Bombyx mori: one gene and its partner. The protein of the gene in region 2 binds, or shares a complex with, the protein of the main gene of each other region. Links are inferred from orthologs where the notes say so. Each region holds a gene or a part of one and is shown on either strand. Other genes may lie near its edges. The genes, in order: integrator complex subunit 7 and integrator complex subunit 4.

Region 1 (9,968 bases), on a different chromosome or scaffold from region 2:
ACGTAATACAAAAATAATTACTATCCCTTTCTTTCGTCGGCATAATATTCTTACAATAAACGGCAGGCTAATCCCGATGTTCGCGGCGACGCGGTTGCGTCGGCGGTGATCAAAGAAAAATCTAAACAACGAAGTCAACAAAATATTTTTGACAAGTCAGTCACGCCGCGTCCACCTTATCGATAAGAGGTCAAGTGATAGTGCAAATAAAATATCTCCCGTATTTCGCTATGTCTTTTCGGTCAGTGACCTCCTAGATCAGCTGATTTGACACCTCTCGACTTTTTTTTGTGGGGGCGAATTAAATCGCTAGTTTATAACACAAAGACAATAAGTGCCGAAGAACTAAAGAATAAGATAATAACCGCCTTTGATAAAGTGAAAAGTGACATTGCAGTATTATCTAAAATAAAACAACAAATACGAAAACGGTCATTAAAGTGCATTGAGCAAGGGGCGCGGCGAGTAGGTGTCTGTGTGTGCGTGCGCAGCGGAGTGTGAATCGGTGACCATTTTATTTCCACGAAATGGGAATAACTAATTTCACAAATAATCAATGTTAACGCACATATAAATAATATTTGGTGTATGCATAGCGTTTATACTATTAAAGTCTAATTGGGGTGTTTGAGGGTGTGCGTTAAATATGTTACATGTTGTATATGAATTTCACGTAGACTCCTTGCTAATTTAGTCCGCTAGTTGTCTGCGTGTACGGATAATATACATAAGCTCGTTACCGTCGATGGCGAGCTTGGCGTCGGCGGCGGCGGCCCGGTGCAGCGCCGCCAGCCAGCGCTGAGCCGCCTCGCTGGGGGCCTGCGCCGCCAGCCGGACCAGCAGCTCCGCGGCCAGGTGGTGATGCCCGTACCTTCGGAACAAACATCTTGAGCGTGTCATCCCATGAGGTTGCGGGAGGAGTTAAAGTAATTTAAGGCAGTCTTTCTCGATTGTTATGCGATAGAAACACGCAAGATAGTGATATCACAAGGCCTTTTTTATGATTGAAAGATTACTGGTAGCCCAGAGGCCTTTCCAGTTTCACCAGGACATGTGGGCGAGCAAAGGCTCAGCCAGGAGGAGTGGGATTTGCTAACAGCTGTCCGAGCGCCTCCGAAGGAGACCTAACAACTCAAGAGCAATTCACAAGACCTCTGGCTCGATACGTATTTCCGATTCACCTATGTGCTTCGTGCGTGTTTTTGAACTTCTCGTTTGCCGCTAGGGGCACTGTTCAACTCAATACAAATTTGAGTTAATTTTTACGCTATCGAGAACCTTAAAAAACTCGCACTAAGCAATATGTGCTGCACACTATAAGCACACTTGATTCGTGCTGTTTGCTCGAACCAAAATCAACCTTATGCAGATAACATAAATTCAAATTTGTTTTAGTTAAATAGTACCAATAACGCCTTTGCCATGCTTAGCTATAAAAGGTGTCCTCAAAATTACGCTTGATTTAAATTTGCCGTCTTCTGTGAGGTTAATTGTTGGGAATTACAAAAAAATATAAAAAAAAATACGGTTGACAGGGTAGGATTACAAAATATTTTATGCGCCATTTTGTAATCCTACACTGTCAGGCACTGTTGACAGAGCAACGCGTTGTTGAATATTTTTTTAAATAATGAAATCTATCATTCGTAGTGAAACAAAAGCGACGAATTTTTAATTTGATGTCGCGAACAAGCCATTTTATAATCTTTATTTTGTAACAGTTTTTTTTTAAGTATGGCACAAGAATATTATATACGTTTTTACTGTTTGTTTTACAATATGCTAACCGACATTGACTTGTAAAAAAAATAACTGATCTAATTATACGTGATGAAAATGTAAGGACGACTGTTAAGTTATTCTGTTTCAAGGTCTACATCAACAGACCATATTATGCTCTCACCTCAAGGCGGCCCTGGCGACTCTGTATCGCACCCAACCGTCAGCCACTTGGACCGCGTCCAAGATCTTCGTGCACCAGTCGTTGCTGATGGTAAAGGTCAACGCTTTCCCGGCCCGTTCTTGGAAAAGCACCGTGCAGAGAAGCACCAGAGCGTTACCTTCGTCTGACGGATTTGCTATCGCATTTTCTCTGTAAAGAATAACGCGTATTTGTCAACACAGCGACAGCCGTTCGAAGCTCCGTGACAAAATACCGTCAGATTTTAATCGCCAATTGCAACCAGATTATCAATGCGTAGTTCATTGTTGAATCAAAAATGGTCACATTATATTTACACGTGTTTGTAGCGTAGTTTTGTTTTTCCTTTCGTCGTTAAAATACTCTGAATAAATGCATCGAATTGAGACTTAGAGTTGGACGTCATCACACACCGAATTGAGTACTGAATTTTCAGCAGCAATGTAAACAACTCAATATCATTACGTATTTATTGATAATGTAGTGACGTATTAAACAGATTTGAACAAACAGAAAGATTTCTTTCTCTCAGTGCCGTCTAAACTAGAACTGAATCGGTCATTTTTAACAGATGATACAAAAAAAAATATATATTTTAGAAATGTAGATCTTTTACTTTTTATTTTTACTTAATCTACATTTGTGAATTGTACTTGTTTAATTAATTTCACGAATTAACCCTATTTTAAAAGTCACTACTAATTTAAGGGTTTGATTTGAAATTTAAAGTATTTTGTTTACCTCTGCATGGCTTCCAACGCTTGATGCAGTGCGGGCAACGCTGGTGCCACCGACATGGGACAGTAGGTTCCACCACCTAACGCGCCCAGGGCTTCCAGGATCGAGGCCTCCCTCGGGCCAGGGTTGGCCCAGCTACTGGTAGCCAGTTGTCCAGCAAGCACCGATGCCGTCCGTGGAGCGTAAACTGTGGGTTCTGCAGTGCTCAGCTGGACCTGGCAATGGGTTACCGTTCAAGTTTTATCTTGACCTCGTGACTATTATGTCTCAATCAACTTAACCAATCCACGTTTGTGTTCAGGTTGTTTTTAATATATCGTGTGGATGAAGTTAAAACAGACAATTATGATTGTAATCTGACCACTGATCACTCAAGGGTAGGTTGTGAATTTTTTAATGAGGATTAAAAAAAAATTATGTATTAACAGAAAAAAAAACTTTGTCTTTGCTTTTTTTTATAACTTCTTTCAATCTTTTAACATTAATGTGTGTTAGAAGAAATTTCAATTTTTCGAGGGTATTTTTAAAAAAAATTTACAGCTGATTCAATATTCTTCTCAATCATGTCACTCTTGACAGAATGATCGTGATCGTGATGTAGAGTTGAAGGGTGCGTATTTAATCAGAGATATAATTGTCGAACACCTTTCTTTCTCATTTATGACTTACCAAACACCTAAGCGCAACCCTGAGTGACTTTATATTCTGCCCATTATCAGCCCCTGCCGCTATCACCAGGGACTCCAGAGCCAGCATCAGATCTGAACCTTCCACCGGAAGACATTCTTCATAGCTACAAGACATTAAAAAATGCTGAATGCTGACAGACAGCCTGACATGGTGTATGTTGCAGTCAATATTTGTTTTTGATGTTACAAAAGTCCATGTGAAATACAAAAGCTTGTGCAAAGATATATTTTATTATGAAAGTTACTAGAGTAAGATAAATTGCTCCATCACCCGTTAGCATTTTTTTTTTTTATAGAATGGTAATATGTAAATGTTGCCTGATAACAAAAAGGGCCTTTAAAAACTAGTGCTTTATTTGTTCACGCATTGAATTAAAATACTTATAGCTTCTTTAAGTGCAACCAAATTTTCAATTACAAGTGTATTTATAATGTTTTTTTATGGGACAGTTAAAAGTATCAGATGACATTTATGTTTGCTATCCTTGTTCAGTCATGTGATCCACAAAAATAGTATGTGTATATGAGTTTTCCTTTTGGCTTTAGAGAATAGGTACTGAAAGGTATATTTTGTTGTTAAATTTCGGGCACTAGCAATAATTTTTATATCACAGATCACAAAATGTTTTTCTAATATGTATATTGAAATTGAGATTTCAAGGTAATAGTAGTTCAAGGTATATTAGTGATATTTAACTTTGTACGATAATAGGTTCCATACAGCCATATCTCAACAAAGTAAACAGATTTGTTTATTTATGCCCTCGTTTAGTAACCAAGAGCCTAAGAGATGACCTGGAAGATGCTAGTCATTATACATTTTAACAGGTGGCAGGATGTCTTGTAAGTCCATATGGGTAGGTACCACCACCCTGCCTATTTCTGCCGTGAAGCAGTAATGCGTTTCGGTTTGAATGCATCAAACTCATGTCTCAAGGTGGGTGGCGGCATTTACGTTGTAGATTTCTCTATAGACGTGGGCCGTGAGCTCGTTCACCGATTTAAAGCAATAAAAAAAATTATGAATAGTCACCAATGAACAACGATCCTGGTGAGGACATCCGCAGCGGTTGCGGCTTGCTTCAAGTCAGCACTGAGAGCGGCTTCACTGCAGTACTGCCTCAGGGCACTGTACTCGCCGCGCTGAGGACACCCTGCCGTGGCGCACACTGCTGGGCACTGCACCAGAATCTAGAAGGATAAATTGTCATGTAATCTCCTTGAATAAAAACATGCATTTTACCAATTATAATTAATACTTTTAAGTGAGTCCTTTTTTCAATTAAATAAAGCACAGTGAGATATCTTATTGTTATTACCTGCATTACTCGAAGGCACAGCATAGTGTGGTCAGTGTCTCGACTATCGCTAGCGGCTCTGACCAGGTTCTGTATACAGTGTGCGGGCCAGAGAGCTGCATTCTCAGCCAACTTCTTGAGGCCAAGCAGTGCGGAACGACGTACGGCTGATCGGGCGTCATTCATGGCTATATTTAGCAGTAGTTCAACCTATAACATTAAAAGCACTGAAGTTTTTAATAGACCTAGTAATGTTATAGTGAAGTAATAAGCTTGATTGTAGTCCGAACACTATGAATGCATCTTTCTTCTTATGAGCTTTAAAATGACTCCTTAAGCAGTGATTTGATACTGCACTAAACATTGCTAAGCCTATAAGTTATGGTAACCACGTCTGATCAGGGCTTCACTTTGTGCTTCTGCAGTGACTTTTTATAATCATATAATGAATCATTCTTACCTGATCAGGAACATGAACCACTGTATCTGAAGCTATATGTGTGAGTGCAGTGATTGAAGCTCGCACCGAACTTGACGAAGGAAACTTGTCTAACAATGATCTCAATAATTTCAAAACTCCTTGTGCTCTGATTGCTAGAAAACAAAAAAAAAAGGTTAAGTGTAATTCTAAATTACTTATTAGGTGGTTGGTTTATCAACTTTATTTTTATACATGTTTAAGAATAAAGAAATTAATTTGAATAAAGGTAGGTAACTAGTAAAATTCCTGATTACCTCCACCATGAACGGTCCTCAGGGCTCTGACAAGTTTTGCTCGTCTCTCAGCAGCAGTGCCCTCACTTTCCACCATATCTGATAGCTTATTGCACATGGCTACTGCGAATGAACTAAAACACATCACAATATGAGAAAATACAAGTACAAAATATGCATTTAAAAGTTTGAGAGACAATTAAATAAGCAGTTTATACTTCTGGTAATTAGTAATACTTAGTTATGGTTTGGATTTTTTTTTTTTTATTGCCTTTGTAGGCAGACGGGCATACGGCCCACCTGATGGTGAGCGGTTACCGTCGCCCATGGACTTCAGCAATGCCAGGGGCTGAGCCAAACCGCTGCCTACCATTGCATTGGATGCATTGGATACTTTTTATTAAGTACCTATTTGGTTAACAGATTAAATTTTTGCCTCAATGACAGTTTTTGCAGCTTATGACGGCACTTACTTGGAGTGGGCAGCAAATCTAGTAGTAGCATATATAGCAGCATCAACTTCAACATTGTCATGGCTATCCAAGCCCCTTCGGATTGCGTGATGTACATTCTGGCGCTCTGGGATAATACCTGCTACTGCACCAAGCGTTCTCAGAGCGAGAGCCCTAGCCACCGGATCGTTTGAGTGTAGAACACTAAAGATCCTCCTTAAGAACTCGTCTACGTTCAGAATCTTATCTAGGTGCTTTTCGCTTTGTTGACAGACTCTCAAAACCCAGAGTCTCAAAAAATTGTTACCCATACGAAAAACGTCAGACAATTTAAGAAAAGATGAATTAATTAATATAGGGAAAGGATATTTTTCGAAAAGACGAGGGAACCGGACGATGGCTTCACATTGCTCTCCTACTTTGCACGACCGTAGGCCTGGAGAAAAAAACATTTTTTATTTTGTTTTTTAAATAAAAGTTTTCTAGGTATTAGTAGAGGTTATATTTACCTTTATCGAGCTCGGTCAATGCTGAATTTGCATCTTGTTCAGGCTCCGCCGAATTGTCGTTGAATGTATTCATTTTAACACCAATCATTATCCGTTTAGGTTATTTAATAAGAATAATTTTAATTTATTTTGTTTTGATTGTTTATGTAAACACCCAACGTCGTGTATCATAGAGTCGTGTATTATCTACCTAAGGTGTATACCTAATCTATGGACCTAATGTCTACAATAGTGTTGTCGAATGTTGATTTACTTTTAATCGATCCTTTGCGTGCCACAAATCTCATTACTCGATTCATCGCATCAATTCAATTACAATCATAGTGTCACTAATACAAATACATATTTCATTACAATTTAGATTACAATGCCAAATTCGCATTCTTTCAACGTTTGATTGCCTTCATTGTAATAGTTGAAAACTACCCATTCAGTTTCCGAATAGATAAATTTCGCACATTTAAAAACTATCTTAGTAAAAACCTAAAAAATGATTTGATTCAAACAAATGATTTTCTCTTTCTTTTCTCTTTTACTATCATAACCATATTTATTTAATAAACACAATACATTACATTATTATATAATATTATTATATTTATGTTTCTAATCGATACATTCAAAACATTTGTTTGGCGTGAAACATCGATGTATTTCTTCGTGATGGTCCTATTTTTTTGTACATTTTATGGTCTGGTACCGCGATCTTTATATCATCACCGTATTTGTCTGTTTGGGATTCTGAAGCATATAATTGATAATATGAAGTGAAATGAAATGAAGATGATTAATTTGAGGCATCAATCAACTGGGATGAAATGAAAGGAAATGAGATGAAATGATATGGGATGAAATATAATCTCAGTAAAATAGTGGTCATTCACTGAGATTCTTTCAGACTTTTTGGAGGATCCCGAGAAGTTACGTCCAGCGGCTTTGTTTCATTTTCCCACATTTGTGCACTGTCACAGATATTAAACAGTTAATAAATCACCGTTATTATACATTTAAACCTGAAGAAAAACTAAATAGACAAAATAAAACAAAATATCACACAACTTCACTCCTCACGTTCCCGCTAAAAAGTCGAAATAGACTGATTATAGTTTGGCCAATAAGTTAGGGGTAAAATATCCATAATTCGCATAGAAAATATTTAATAAATGTACACAAGTACGTACGGCTGATTTTTCAACAGGGAAAAAATTGTAAACAAAACTTCTTTTTTGTTTTGAGCGACATCTATCGCCCATTATGGGTCAATAAACATAAAAACTAGAGTTTTAAAGTACATTGGCAACTGACAACAGATGTCAGTATGGTCCTTGTTTTTAGTTTACAGGTACTGAAATACTATGGTCTGTAAATATTCAATTATATTTAACGAGAAAACTCCGCTTTTCGGGTATTTTATGTCTTGATATATTTACATTTATATTGCCGCTTAGAATACTGCCATCATTAGTTAGAAATTGGATTTAATATGTATCACTGAAACGAAAATTGGTTACCAGATTTTGAATATTACCGTTTTAAAAATTAAAGATCGATAACACAAAGTTTAATTCATGCAAATGTGCTGTCTATTTATAAATATCACAAAATTACAATTTAGGAAGGTAAATAGAGGTCATTTAATTTGAGCCACTAAATCTAGTACTAGCTCGACTAAACAACGTTTACCGGGCACCGGGATCAACTCACAAAGGTAATTACAGTTCCAGTAACAATACCAGAGTTGGATGTCATCATTTATCGTAGGGTTGTTCGCTTTGTTTTTTACTAGAATTGGTAATAAAGTTAATTAGGTTGTTCTAATTAGGTCTACTTACGTTATTTAAATGGTAGCTGATTCGCGAGTGGATCAACTACCGGAACGAAATCGCGACCCGCTAAAACTACGTTTCGTTAAAAGTGCAGCTTATAGACATCACAAAGGACTGGGATATTAGGTTGATGTCTAAATTGTATTGTAAAATTGCTATCTTGCCCTTCAAACGAACGTATGGATTGTATGAGACCGTAATATCTATTATAGGCACATGGGTGCTATTTACCCGTGTGATGTCATAATTTGCCCTCTAGCCGGTGAATCTATGCATCTCGTATTAGAGATCACATCGAAGAATGCCTTCTCTTCACGTAAACTAAATTAATATGATTTTAAAATTTAATTTTAATTTATTTAACAGCCCTAGCTGGAGCGCGAAAATTATCCGAAAATGGCGGGAACCTACCTCGATGGCGTCTAATGACACGGGATCACCACAATAATGCCGGAGTTAGATTACCATGAAACAAACATATAGGTGCCTATATGTTATTTGATACAGAGGCTTAGTTTTAAATTTCAAATAAACATGTAAATTTAGGACACCGTACCTTTTATTATCTAAGGTGGTATTAGAAGTACTTCGAGTCAGAGTCGTTTGAAGGGCTGACAGATAATCCTACCGTTCATTCATTGCCCTGGCAATGTTGAGATACTAGAATAAAGGATTTTTTTAAATAAACTGTTCTAAAAGATATTATGCAAATATAATTCTTGCTGTTCTAACCAAAACGAAGAGAAACTTTAAAGAATCATATCTACATGTTAACCTTTCTTTCCTTTTTCTTTTGTATGATTATCTTTTAATCCTTCCGGTGTGAACAGTGCGTTATTTTGACAGAGTTATTTTGAAGGAGAACCTTTTTTTTCGTTTAGTAATTGATGCTGGACGCCAATGGGATCAGTTGGCCCACAATTGTCTGATTTAGACTAATTTTTAAGGATAAATAAAATATAATGTACGTTTTTGTGGTTTTATTGCGACGACAAACTCCTAAATGTATTATGAGGATTAGGTATATTTGGCGCGCTTTTTTTTTACCATTTGCCATAAGTGTATGTGCCAGGGTTTTGGATCAACTGAGTGCTCCGTGCGAGTTTTTTGACGTTCTCGATAGCGTAAAAGTCAACTCAAATTTGTATGGAGTTGGAACGTTTAATTATGTTTGCCGCTAGGGGCGCTGTTTCAACTCCATACAAATTTGAGTTAACTTTTACATAGATATCGACCAACATATACCAAGTCGAAGTTTCTAGTAAGAAATTACGTGTACCCAACATTTTCTATGTGATCAAACAAATATATTTTATCCGGAGTTTTATCTATTAGGCTACTAGTTACCTACGCAGGTATTCGCCTATTTCGACTGTATAAATCGACCGCACGTGCAGGTGCACATGCATATAGTTGTGCACATTGTTTTTACTATTGTTGTACACATGCACAACAATAGTAAAAACATATATTTTTTTAATCTAGTTCTATTAATCGCAGTGTAGGTAGTATAAATCGTAGACCATTAATGATATTTTTTTTATTTTTTCATTATTCTTAACGTTTTGTTTAATGGAGCATTGTGTGACATCATCACAGATGTGTGTTCCTTCAGTACTTTCTATGTTCATTTATTGTTTTAGGTAACCCGACTTATTTCTTGTTTTTCACAAGTTTTAAAGAGTCCTAGATAACTAAAAATATGTATTATCTACGGTTTACGTCAGCGGTAGTCATAGAATTAGTTTCACGGATTTAATTTCATGTTTTTTACTGTCATTACATTGTTTTAGATGTTTTAAATACTTTATAGTTCTCACA
Region 2 (9,078 bases):
ACACTCCATGTGAAATTAAAACTTTAGTCAGCAAACGCAAGTTTTGCGTTCCATCCTCATCTGTAACAAAAATAATGGCTTTAAAAAAGAAGATATTCTCCAGACCACCAATCGGGAGACTTAAGTTTATTTTTTTTTTGGAACCAATTTTTTAAATGAAATACGTACTTAGCAAATGTTTATGATTGACTTCCACGATGAAGGAATAACATCGCGCAATAAAAATGAAACCCACAAAATTATTATTTGCGTAATTACTGGTGGTAGGACATCTTGTGAGTCCGAACGGGTACTACCACCCCACCTATTTCTGCCGTGAAGCAGTAATGCGTTTCAGTTTGAAGGGTAGGGCAGCCGTTGTAACTATACAAATACCTTAGAACTCATATCTCAAGGTGGGCGGCGGCATTTACGTTGTAGATGTCTATGGGCTTCAGTAACCACTTAACATCAGTGTGCTTAGTGCGAGTTTTTTAACGTTCTCGATAGCGTAAAAGTTAACCCAATTTTGTATGCAGTTGGAACAGCGCCCCTAGCGGCAAACATACGCAAACGATCCCATTCGATACAAATATGAGCTAACTTTTACGCTATCGAGAACGTTAAAAAACTCGCACTAAGCACACAGGTGGGACGTGAGGTCGTCCATCCATTTAAGCAATAAAAAAAAAGGTGTGTTTGAGAAGGCAGGCTGATTACACAACTCTACAAAAAAAATTCGTTCTTTGCCCTAACGTTTATACTAGGTTTTTCCGGTTAATTATTCACAAAAACGAAAATAAAATAGTTTTTTTTTATATAAACTTTGCTTTTGTGATAGTTATAGTAATAATACTCATTTTTAATTTTTTTTATAAATTTTAATTATTTTTAATATTTTCAAAAAAACCGCGCTATGAGAGTGGGGTGTTTACACAGTGCCACTAGATGGCACTCGAGTAATAAACAACGATCAGGTGTTTTGTACAAGCCCAGAAAAACTTAAAATGTCACAAAAGTGTAAATACGATGCTGATGCATTTTGTTTCATATGTGGTTAATTTATTAAAGTTCAAAAGCAAACTGTTTCATGCCATGTATTTTTTTTTCGCCTAATTACTATCTAAAATATCGAAATTTTATGCTTCGCAAAGTCAAATTTGGTGTTGACCCGTGTTATCTATGAGATGTTTACTTTGGTCGTGATGGTCGAGCGGCCGGAGGTGGTCCCGGGGCGGCAGCAGCGCGTGCACCCGGCGGTCCGGGTAGGCCACGCGCACGCGCAGCGCGTCCGCACAGCGCACGCGCGTCACCTCGGCCTCCAGCGCCACGCCGGCCACGAGCCCCGCGCTGAACCGCACCACCAAGTCGTTGTCGGCGGCCGGCTCCACTATGCTAGCTTTGCACATCACGATCTTAAACAGATAATCGATTTACAGAGCTCAACCAAGAAAGAAGATAACACACACTGAAGTTTTTTTTAAGGGATTTTATGACCTGGTAACTAAGACCTTTAAGTCAAATCTTATTTTAATTTTAATGAATACTTTTTTGAAGAATGATAATACGAAATGAAATCGAAACGAAGTGAAATGAAAACGAAATGTAATGAAATGTGATGAGATGACATGGGATGAAATATTATAATCTCAGTAAAATGGTGGTCATTTACTGAGACTCTTTCAGTGGACTTTTTGGAGGATCCCGAGAAGTTAGATGCAGCGGATTTTTTTCTATTTCCCACATTTGTGCACCTTCACAGATACTAAACAGTTAATAAACCACCATTATTACACATTTAAACCTGAAGAAACACTAAATAGACAAAATAAAGCAAATCACACAACTTCACTTCTCGCGTTCCCGCCAAAAAGTCCACATTTAAGTTACAGATCGTTTAGCTACAGATTAGAAGTAGCCCTGAAACTGCGATACTTTAAGACAAATATTTTTTCTGTATGGAAACTACCGACATTTTGTAGCGTATGCCCCTAAACTTGTATGTTGTTTTGTAGGCAGACGAGCATACCGTCCAACTGATGGTAAGCGGTTACCGTCGCTCATGGACATCAGCAATGCCAGGGGCAGTCAAGCCGCTGCCTACCATTAAGTGCTGTCTCCGCAAGCCTCGTTTGAAGAAGGACATGTCGTAGCGCTCGGGATACACCTTGGAGGGTAGTTTATTCCAAAAAATTTAGAAACGCATTGTCGATGAACGCAGCGGTTCCTAATAATATGGATGAATCATGTAGCGAATTTACAATAGCCACTTCAATGAAAACTGTTAACGCCTAAACTAAAATTTAAGGAGCAATATTGAAAATTTTATGTTTACCTACACCAATTACACTTTAACAAATCGTCGTGCCAAGCTAACTTGCTCGCAACATAAAAATTAAGAAAAAACTTGTATACAGAAAATACAAATTTCTTAGATGGATGGAAGAACTCACAGCGCACCTGGTGTTAAGTGGTTACTGGAGCCCATAGACATCTACGACGTAAACGCGCCACCCACCTCGAGATAAAAGTTCTAAGGTCTCAAGTATAGTTAGAACGGTTGCCCCACCCTCGCATTGCTGCTTCACGGCAGAAATAGGTAGAGATCGATTTGGAATTTTTATTTAAGAAACCCAAGCATCCAACAAAAACGTATTTCGAACTTTAACTATTTCAGTGTCACGTTTGTACGCGGCCCGTCTTATGATAGCACACAATGGTAGTTTTCCAATTACAGCACAAGAGCGCATTATGCGGCATAATGCTCAACGTTGAATGTTCCAACTACAGCGACGCTTCGCACAATCGAGCGCTCTCAAAAGTACTGCCCTCGCGTGATACTCGCAATCGATACCGACTCAGTGACAGAAAATTGACAAGTGTTTTTTCTTTAAGTTGGCATTGATCGAAATTTTGTTTTTAATATCGTTAGTAATATTATTTAATGTTGAAAAAAATGGTAAGGCTTTCGTTTCGTCGTAGTTTCTTAGAAATAATCAATGTTAATTAAAACTGTGCTAACTTAGCGCACTCTGCTGATGCATTTGAAAACTAATTCACGTTCCAATTAAGCTTCAGCGTAATTCGGCATTGTGCGTCACTGAGTCGCATTATGCTCTGTAATTGGAAAACTACCAGCGATTGTCTGAGCGTACCTTAAGGTTAGGTTTGGGTATGACCGGCAGCGGCGCGGACAGTAGGAGCGGGTGGATGCTCCTCGCCAGCGCGGCCGGCTTGTTGTCCGCGTTCATCGACAGCTGACGGAACACTGCTATCGTGAACGGATCCGGCTCTACACCTGGACAATACAACGGTCAAACTTCAATACGCTCTCTAAAGCTGTGACAGTCCAGTTTGAAGACATTGCACCGATGCCATTTAACGCGTTGACTGTCTTGTATGTTCCCTGTTCACGCCGGCCGTTCTATTTACTGAAATACCGTAATCTATGAAGTCTTATTGAATTTACCTGCGGAAGCCAGCATTCTGTCCAACACTTCGGCGTGGTGCGTGAGAGCTGCGACGGCCGACAGCGCGGCGGTGTTGCCAGCTGCAGCGACCCCGCCGCTAGTGTTGCCAGCCGCGCTCTGCTGCACGGCGGCGCACAGGCGGGCGGCGCACACTCGCAGCGCCAGCTGCCAAACGCACGCATTGTCCTGTTCGGACATCCCGCTAAACTGATGTTGAAGCCTGTAGAATGTAATTTTTTTTCTCCTATTTATGCCGAAAGTTCGGTTTTTCTCCCGCTGTACAGGGAAGAAAGTCTAACTTTTCCTCCCGCTGTACAGGGAAGAAAGTGGAACTTTTCCTCCCTGGGCAGTGACAAGTGCGCATGCGCGTTAGTGTTTACGTCTGCTCTCACACACCTAAAATTCTCCGCCATTGTTGTGCTCGGGTAATTTGCAATATTGTGTTTAGTGTAAAAGTGAAATAAACAAAAGGCAATAAAATTTTAAAGTGAAGTATTAAACAAAAATGAATCATTCATCAGTTCATCAGACAGTTCTTATTCAATTAGTAGTAGTTTATTTCAAAATTAAACAACAGTTAAATGTTTTTTTATGGGTATGGGGGGGGGGCTGCCCCCCCCTACAGACCGCCAGGCCTTCGCCCCTGGACCCCGGCTCGGTACTCCACGAGCTTTCGGGCTGGTAGGAGAAAAAATTGTATATGTTCCGCGGGAGAAAAGTAGGCCATCTCATCCCACGTGTTTGCCAGTCGCAATTTTACACGCAATGTACTATATTTTTATTGATGCTCGACTTGTATCCGTAAATTTGAAAGATAACCCTCCGTATCGTTAATATTTCGAATAATTGGTATTTATATTTCGAAATTGATTGAACAATTTAGGTATATATAGGATCGAAAGTTTTTATAATTCCTTTGAAAGTAACAAAACAAACCCAAAATATTTAACATTGGTTATATACGGCATACGAGCATACGGCCCACCTAATGCGTAAGCGGTTAGCATCGCTCAATGACGTCAGCAATCCCAAGGGCAGAGCCAAACCGCTGTCTACCTGACTAGTATATGTGTATTTTTTTATTATTATTATTTAGCACAACAGATTTTACACGTGCACGTGCGTACTATCGTTTTACGTTTTATGTAATGATGGAGGCTACCGACCGGAGACAGTCTGCGTGCAGGGAGCGCAGCGCGTGCTGCGGCGGCGCGGCGCACTGCAGCGCGTCATGCAGCGCCCGCACGCAGCGCGCGAACAGTGCCGTCCGCTGCGCCGCGCCGCACACCGCCGGCTCCATCTCCGACAACCTGACAACAATTTGCAATGTAAAACATCTATTTTTTTTAAAGTAATTTTTTGACCTGGTAACTAGGACCTTTAAGGTCATGTCTTATTTTAATTTATATTCTTACTTTTATGAAAAATGACGAAATGAAATGAATGATTAATTTGAGACATTAATCAACTGGGATGAAATGAAATGAAATGAGATGTAATATAATCTCAGTAAAATGGTGGTCATTTACTGAGACTTTTTCAGTGGACTTTTTGTAAGATCCCGAGAAGTTACGTCCAAAGGCTTTATTTTATTTTCCCACATATGTGCACAGATACTAAATAGTTAATAAACCACAGTTATTACACATTGAAAACTGAAGAAACAGTAAATAGACAAAATAAAACAAATCACACAACTTCACTCCTCGCGTTACCGCCAAAAAGTCTGTAAAACATCTATAGCCGACAGTATTTCCACTTTAATGATTTCCTTTCCCCACTCCTCAATTCAAATTTCCCCTTCTCAGGGCTTTAACCTTAACATTTAAGGGCATGAAAAATAGATGTTGATGACAGGTGAATTTTATACATTAGATAAATATACATGGGCGCAAAACCGCCATTATTGGGAATATTTAACATGATTTAAAGCTTCAAAGCGCTTTCCCGTGTATTGTGTATATGCCATTGATTATTTGTTAAAGTAGAGAAGCGTTAAACCGCTTTAAAGCGCTTTCCCGTGTAATGTGTATAAGCCATTGATTACTTGTTAAAGTAGAGAAGCGTTAAACCGCTTTAAAGCGCTTTCCCGTGTATTGTGTATAAGCCATTGATTACTTGTTAAAGTAGAGAAGCGTTAAACCGCTTTAAAGCGCTTTCCCGTGTATTGTGTATAAGCCATTGATTACTTGTTAAAGTAGAGAAGCGTTAAACCGCTTTCCCGTGTATTATGTATAAGCCATTGATTACTTGTTAAAGTAGAGAAGCGTTAAACCGCTTTAAAGCGCTTTCCCGTGTAATGTGTATAAGCCATTGATTACTTGTTAAAGTAGAGAAGCGTTAAACCGCTTTAAAGCGCTTTCCCGTGTATTATGTATAAGCCATTGATTACTTGTTAAAGTAGAGAAGCGTTAAACCGCTTTAAAGCGCTTTCCCGTGTATTGTGTATAAGCCATTGATTACTTGTTAAAGTAGAGAAGCGTTAAACCGCTTTAAAGCACTTTCCCGTGTATTGTGTATAAACCATTGATTACTTGTTAAGTTGTTCCTCGGCCGAGCGCAGCATGTTCAGCCTCACGGCGGTGGAGAGGGTCCCGTTGTCGATGTGCTGCAGCACGCAGTCGAAGAACCGTCTCACGGCGCTGTCGTCCATCGCAGCCTCTATCTTCTCCGCGCTTGATTGCTGTTCGCCTAAAGTACATCAGTGATATATAAGTAAATATGATTAAGATTGGTGTTAAGTAGTTACCGAAGTCTATAAACATCACAACGTGAGTATCGCTTTTTTACTGGTGGTAGGACCTACATACATTTACGTTGTGGATGTCTATGGGCTCCAATAACCACTTAACACCAGGTGGGCTGTGAGCTCGTCCACCCATCTAAGCAAAAAAAAAACATCTGTATAACCTCAAAAGGCCTAATTAATAAAATTTCATAGCACCACACGTCCTACCACCGTAATCCTCGTGACTCCTCGAAAGGCTCGTGTATCGTGTGTATGACTAACCGATGGGCAGATGCGGCACGAGATGAGGCATGGTGTCCCGCAGATACGTGTAATGCTTGATGGTGTGCTCCTCGAACAGCGGCAGCATGGTGGTGCAGTGCTGCGCCGCGTTCAACACCAGGATCAAAACGCACATATCTATTATGGACTAGTTAAGGATATTAGCTTCAAGCGAAAACTATCTTAAACATACAGCTATTAAGGTTCCTTTTTTTTTTAAATTCAAATTATACAATCTGTCATTAAAACACTATTCAATACACAACATAAGTACTGTCATCATCATTTTTGTTTCAAAATTTAGAATTTGTCGATTTGTGTGTGTGACTTTGATCATAATAATTGGTTTATTTCATTCGAAAACAGAATCGTGTAGTACAATAGTATACTTGAGCCATGCTTTGTATCAGGAAATTATGCCCTTCCTTTTACCTAGCCTTTCCTAAAGTTGACGATAACGCCCCCCTGTGGGCGCTGCAGGCCTAAAGGGGAGCGGTAACAGATCCAGAAAAAAATGGGAGCGTTGTGCAGAAGCTTGAGAGGCGATTTGTAATTTCATCTAAGAGGACTCTTATACACCGACTAAACTTTCACTATAGAGGTTTTTAGGTATGTGAAAAAATGGGGGCGCTAAAGAATAATTTATTCTCAAAGTAGGCAAAGGGCAGTAGACAAAATAAGTTTGGGAACCCCAGTTCTAACCTATGTAAACTAACCTAATTTTTTTTTTTTTACATTACAACCAGCTTTGTAAAAATTAGTATATATGATGGTAATATAGAAAACATGCGTTAAGTTGCTGCGAACCTGCACAGAGGGATACCAGCTTTCTGTCTATTTCTAAGGCAAAAAAAAACATGCGATCGACATTATTGTAGCTTCAAGCACACCAATCACTGCATCACTCGAGTAACTAATACTAAATAAAGAGACTTTTTGGCGGGAACGCGAGGACTGAAGTAGTGTGATTTGTTTTACTTTGTCTATTTTTTTTTTCAGGTTTAAATGTGTAATAACGGTGGTTTATTAACTGTTTAGTATCTAAAAGTGCACAAATGTGGGAAAATGAAACAAAGCCGCTGGACGTAACTTCTCGGGATCCTCCAAAAAGTCCACTGAAAAAATCTCAGTAAATCACAACCATTTTACAGAGATTAACCCCATATCATCTCATCTCATTTTATTTTATTTCATCCCAGTTGATTAATGTCTCCAATTAATCATCTTCATTTCATTTTATTTCACTCCATATTATCATTTTTCAAAACAATAAGAATATAAATTAAAATAAGACATGACCTAAAGGTCTTAGTTACCAGGTCATAAAATCCCTTAAAAAAAACACTAAATAAAGAACTGATTGGGAATTTTGTATGTCTCTAAAATTAATATTGTTCAAAGGATACAAGCTGGATCCTCAACATCTGGCTCAGGCATGTCGAAGAAAGGGTGCACGGCCAGCAGCCTCGTGGTCAGCGGCAGCACCAGGGTCGCGTGCGAGCTGCCCAGCCGCTGCACGCAACGGAATGTCGAACGCTTATCCTGAACAATAACACAACGGACACTTTTTACTGGTGGTAGGACCTCTTGTTGGTCCGCACGGGTAGGCACTACCACCCCGTCTATTTCTGCCGTGAAGCAGTAATGCGTTTCGGTTTGAAGGGTGGGGCAGCCGTTGTAACTATACTTGAGACCTTAGAACTTATATCTCAAGGTGGGTGGCGCATTTATGTTGTAGATGTCTATGGGCTCCAGTAACAACTTAACACCAGGTGGGCTGTGAGCTCGTTCACTCATTTAAGCAATAAAAAAAACTAATTCTTTTTCTCAGTCGTTTGCACTCTTGGGTGGTCGTGGTCATCAGTTCGGGTAGTGGAGCGCTTCATAAGACATCGCCATTCCTCGTGTACCGCGACCTTGTACAATACATACTTAAAAACATGAGTGGATGATTATGAGTTAAGTACCATTTTTAAGATTTTTGAGTTTTAACATTGAATGAAGGTGTTATGTGACAATAAAATATATTAGACCTTAAAACCCCTGGCATTAAAGGCAATTTTTAGATATTGCATGTGATGAAGTTATGTACGAAAAAAAAGTACAATTAACAAAAGTTTGTTGCCAAAGTTTATCATATGTCCTTCATCCATCATGTCTCAAATTATATGTATACGTTTAAATACATACATATTTAGATATTACACATCCAGACAAAGGGCACATAAACATATCCATCACACGAATGTTTGCCCGATGTGGGAATTGAACCCAAGACATTCTAGCCAGCACTCAGCATTAACTACTGTGCCAAGTCAGTCATTCACTAAAAGGAACTACTACAAAAACATACATCTCTTTCACATTGATGTTTATAATCAAAACATTACCCTAGTACTCTTATCAAGTAATTTAATAATAGCTATACCTGTGGATATCTTTTGAGATTCTCCAGAATTTTATCAATGCACATCTCCAGGCATGTTTTGGACGCGACTGTACACGAGCCCAGCAGTCTGTGTAGACCTTCCCTGACGTCCATTGAATAATCCTAAAACCAAAGTTCTATTATTTTCCAGTAAAAACTAAATTGCCCTTTTTCGTAGAAAGAGGTGAAGT

What was found.
Region 1: the proteins of integrator complex subunit 4 (region 2) and integrator complex subunit 7 are in contact, whole or in part, in a cryo-EM structure (PDB 8RC4), measured with the Homo sapiens proteins. The link is inferred for Bombyx mori from reciprocal best matches to the Homo sapiens genes INTS4 and INTS7. Residues at the interface, in NP_291025.3 of Homo sapiens: Glu536, Met539, Asp540, Arg571, His572, Ala574, Tyr575, Asp578, Ser579, Ser610, Phe613, Arg620, Leu624, Leu627, Gly631, Glu634, Leu635, Phe638, Arg641, Asp642, Arg645, Leu646, Glu648, Leu649, Gln650, Lys677, Leu678, Trp679, Asn680, Val681; in NP_056249.1 of Homo sapiens: Lys137, Asn138, His140, His141, Arg144, Gln145, Gly175, His205, His206, Asp207, Ala208, Ser244, Ser245, Leu246, Val247, Lys282, Thr283, Pro284, His285, Thr286, Thr321, Ile322, Lys325, His326, Gly686, Tyr689, Glu704, Gln707, Gln708, Leu711.

The regions. Positions count from the first base shown.
Region 1 is NC_085129.1:14,668,674-14,678,641, reverse strand, and holds the start of integrator complex subunit 7, read right to left. Parts: upstream 6,541-9,968; 5' UTR 6,410-6,540; coding exon 6,322-6,409; intron 6,249-6,321; coding exon 5,834-6,248; intron 5,495-5,833; coding exon 5,382-5,494; intron 5,241-5,381; coding exon 5,107-5,240; intron 4,857-5,106; coding exon 4,668-4,856; intron 4,540-4,667; coding exon 4,382-4,539; intron 3,453-4,381; coding exon 3,329-3,452; intron 2,875-3,328; coding exon 2,663-2,874; intron 2,093-2,662; coding exon 1,904-2,092; intron 872-1,903; coding exon 741-871; intron 1-740. UniProt on the Homo sapiens protein: Component of the integrator complex, a multiprotein complex that terminates RNA polymerase II (Pol II) transcription in the promoter-proximal region of genes.
Region 2 is NC_085121.1:12,643,312-12,652,389, forward strand, and holds part of integrator complex subunit 4, read right to left. Parts: intron 9,011-9,078; coding exon 8,888-9,010; intron 8,002-8,887; coding exon 7,866-8,001; intron 6,598-7,865; coding exon 6,460-6,597; intron 6,141-6,459; coding exon 5,984-6,140; intron 4,760-5,983; coding exon 4,616-4,759; intron 3,670-4,615; coding exon 3,449-3,669; intron 3,278-3,448; coding exon 3,135-3,277; intron 1,395-3,134; coding exon 1,175-1,394; intron 61-1,174; coding exon 1-60. UniProt on the Homo sapiens protein: Component of the integrator complex, a multiprotein complex that terminates RNA polymerase II (Pol II) transcription in the promoter-proximal region of genes.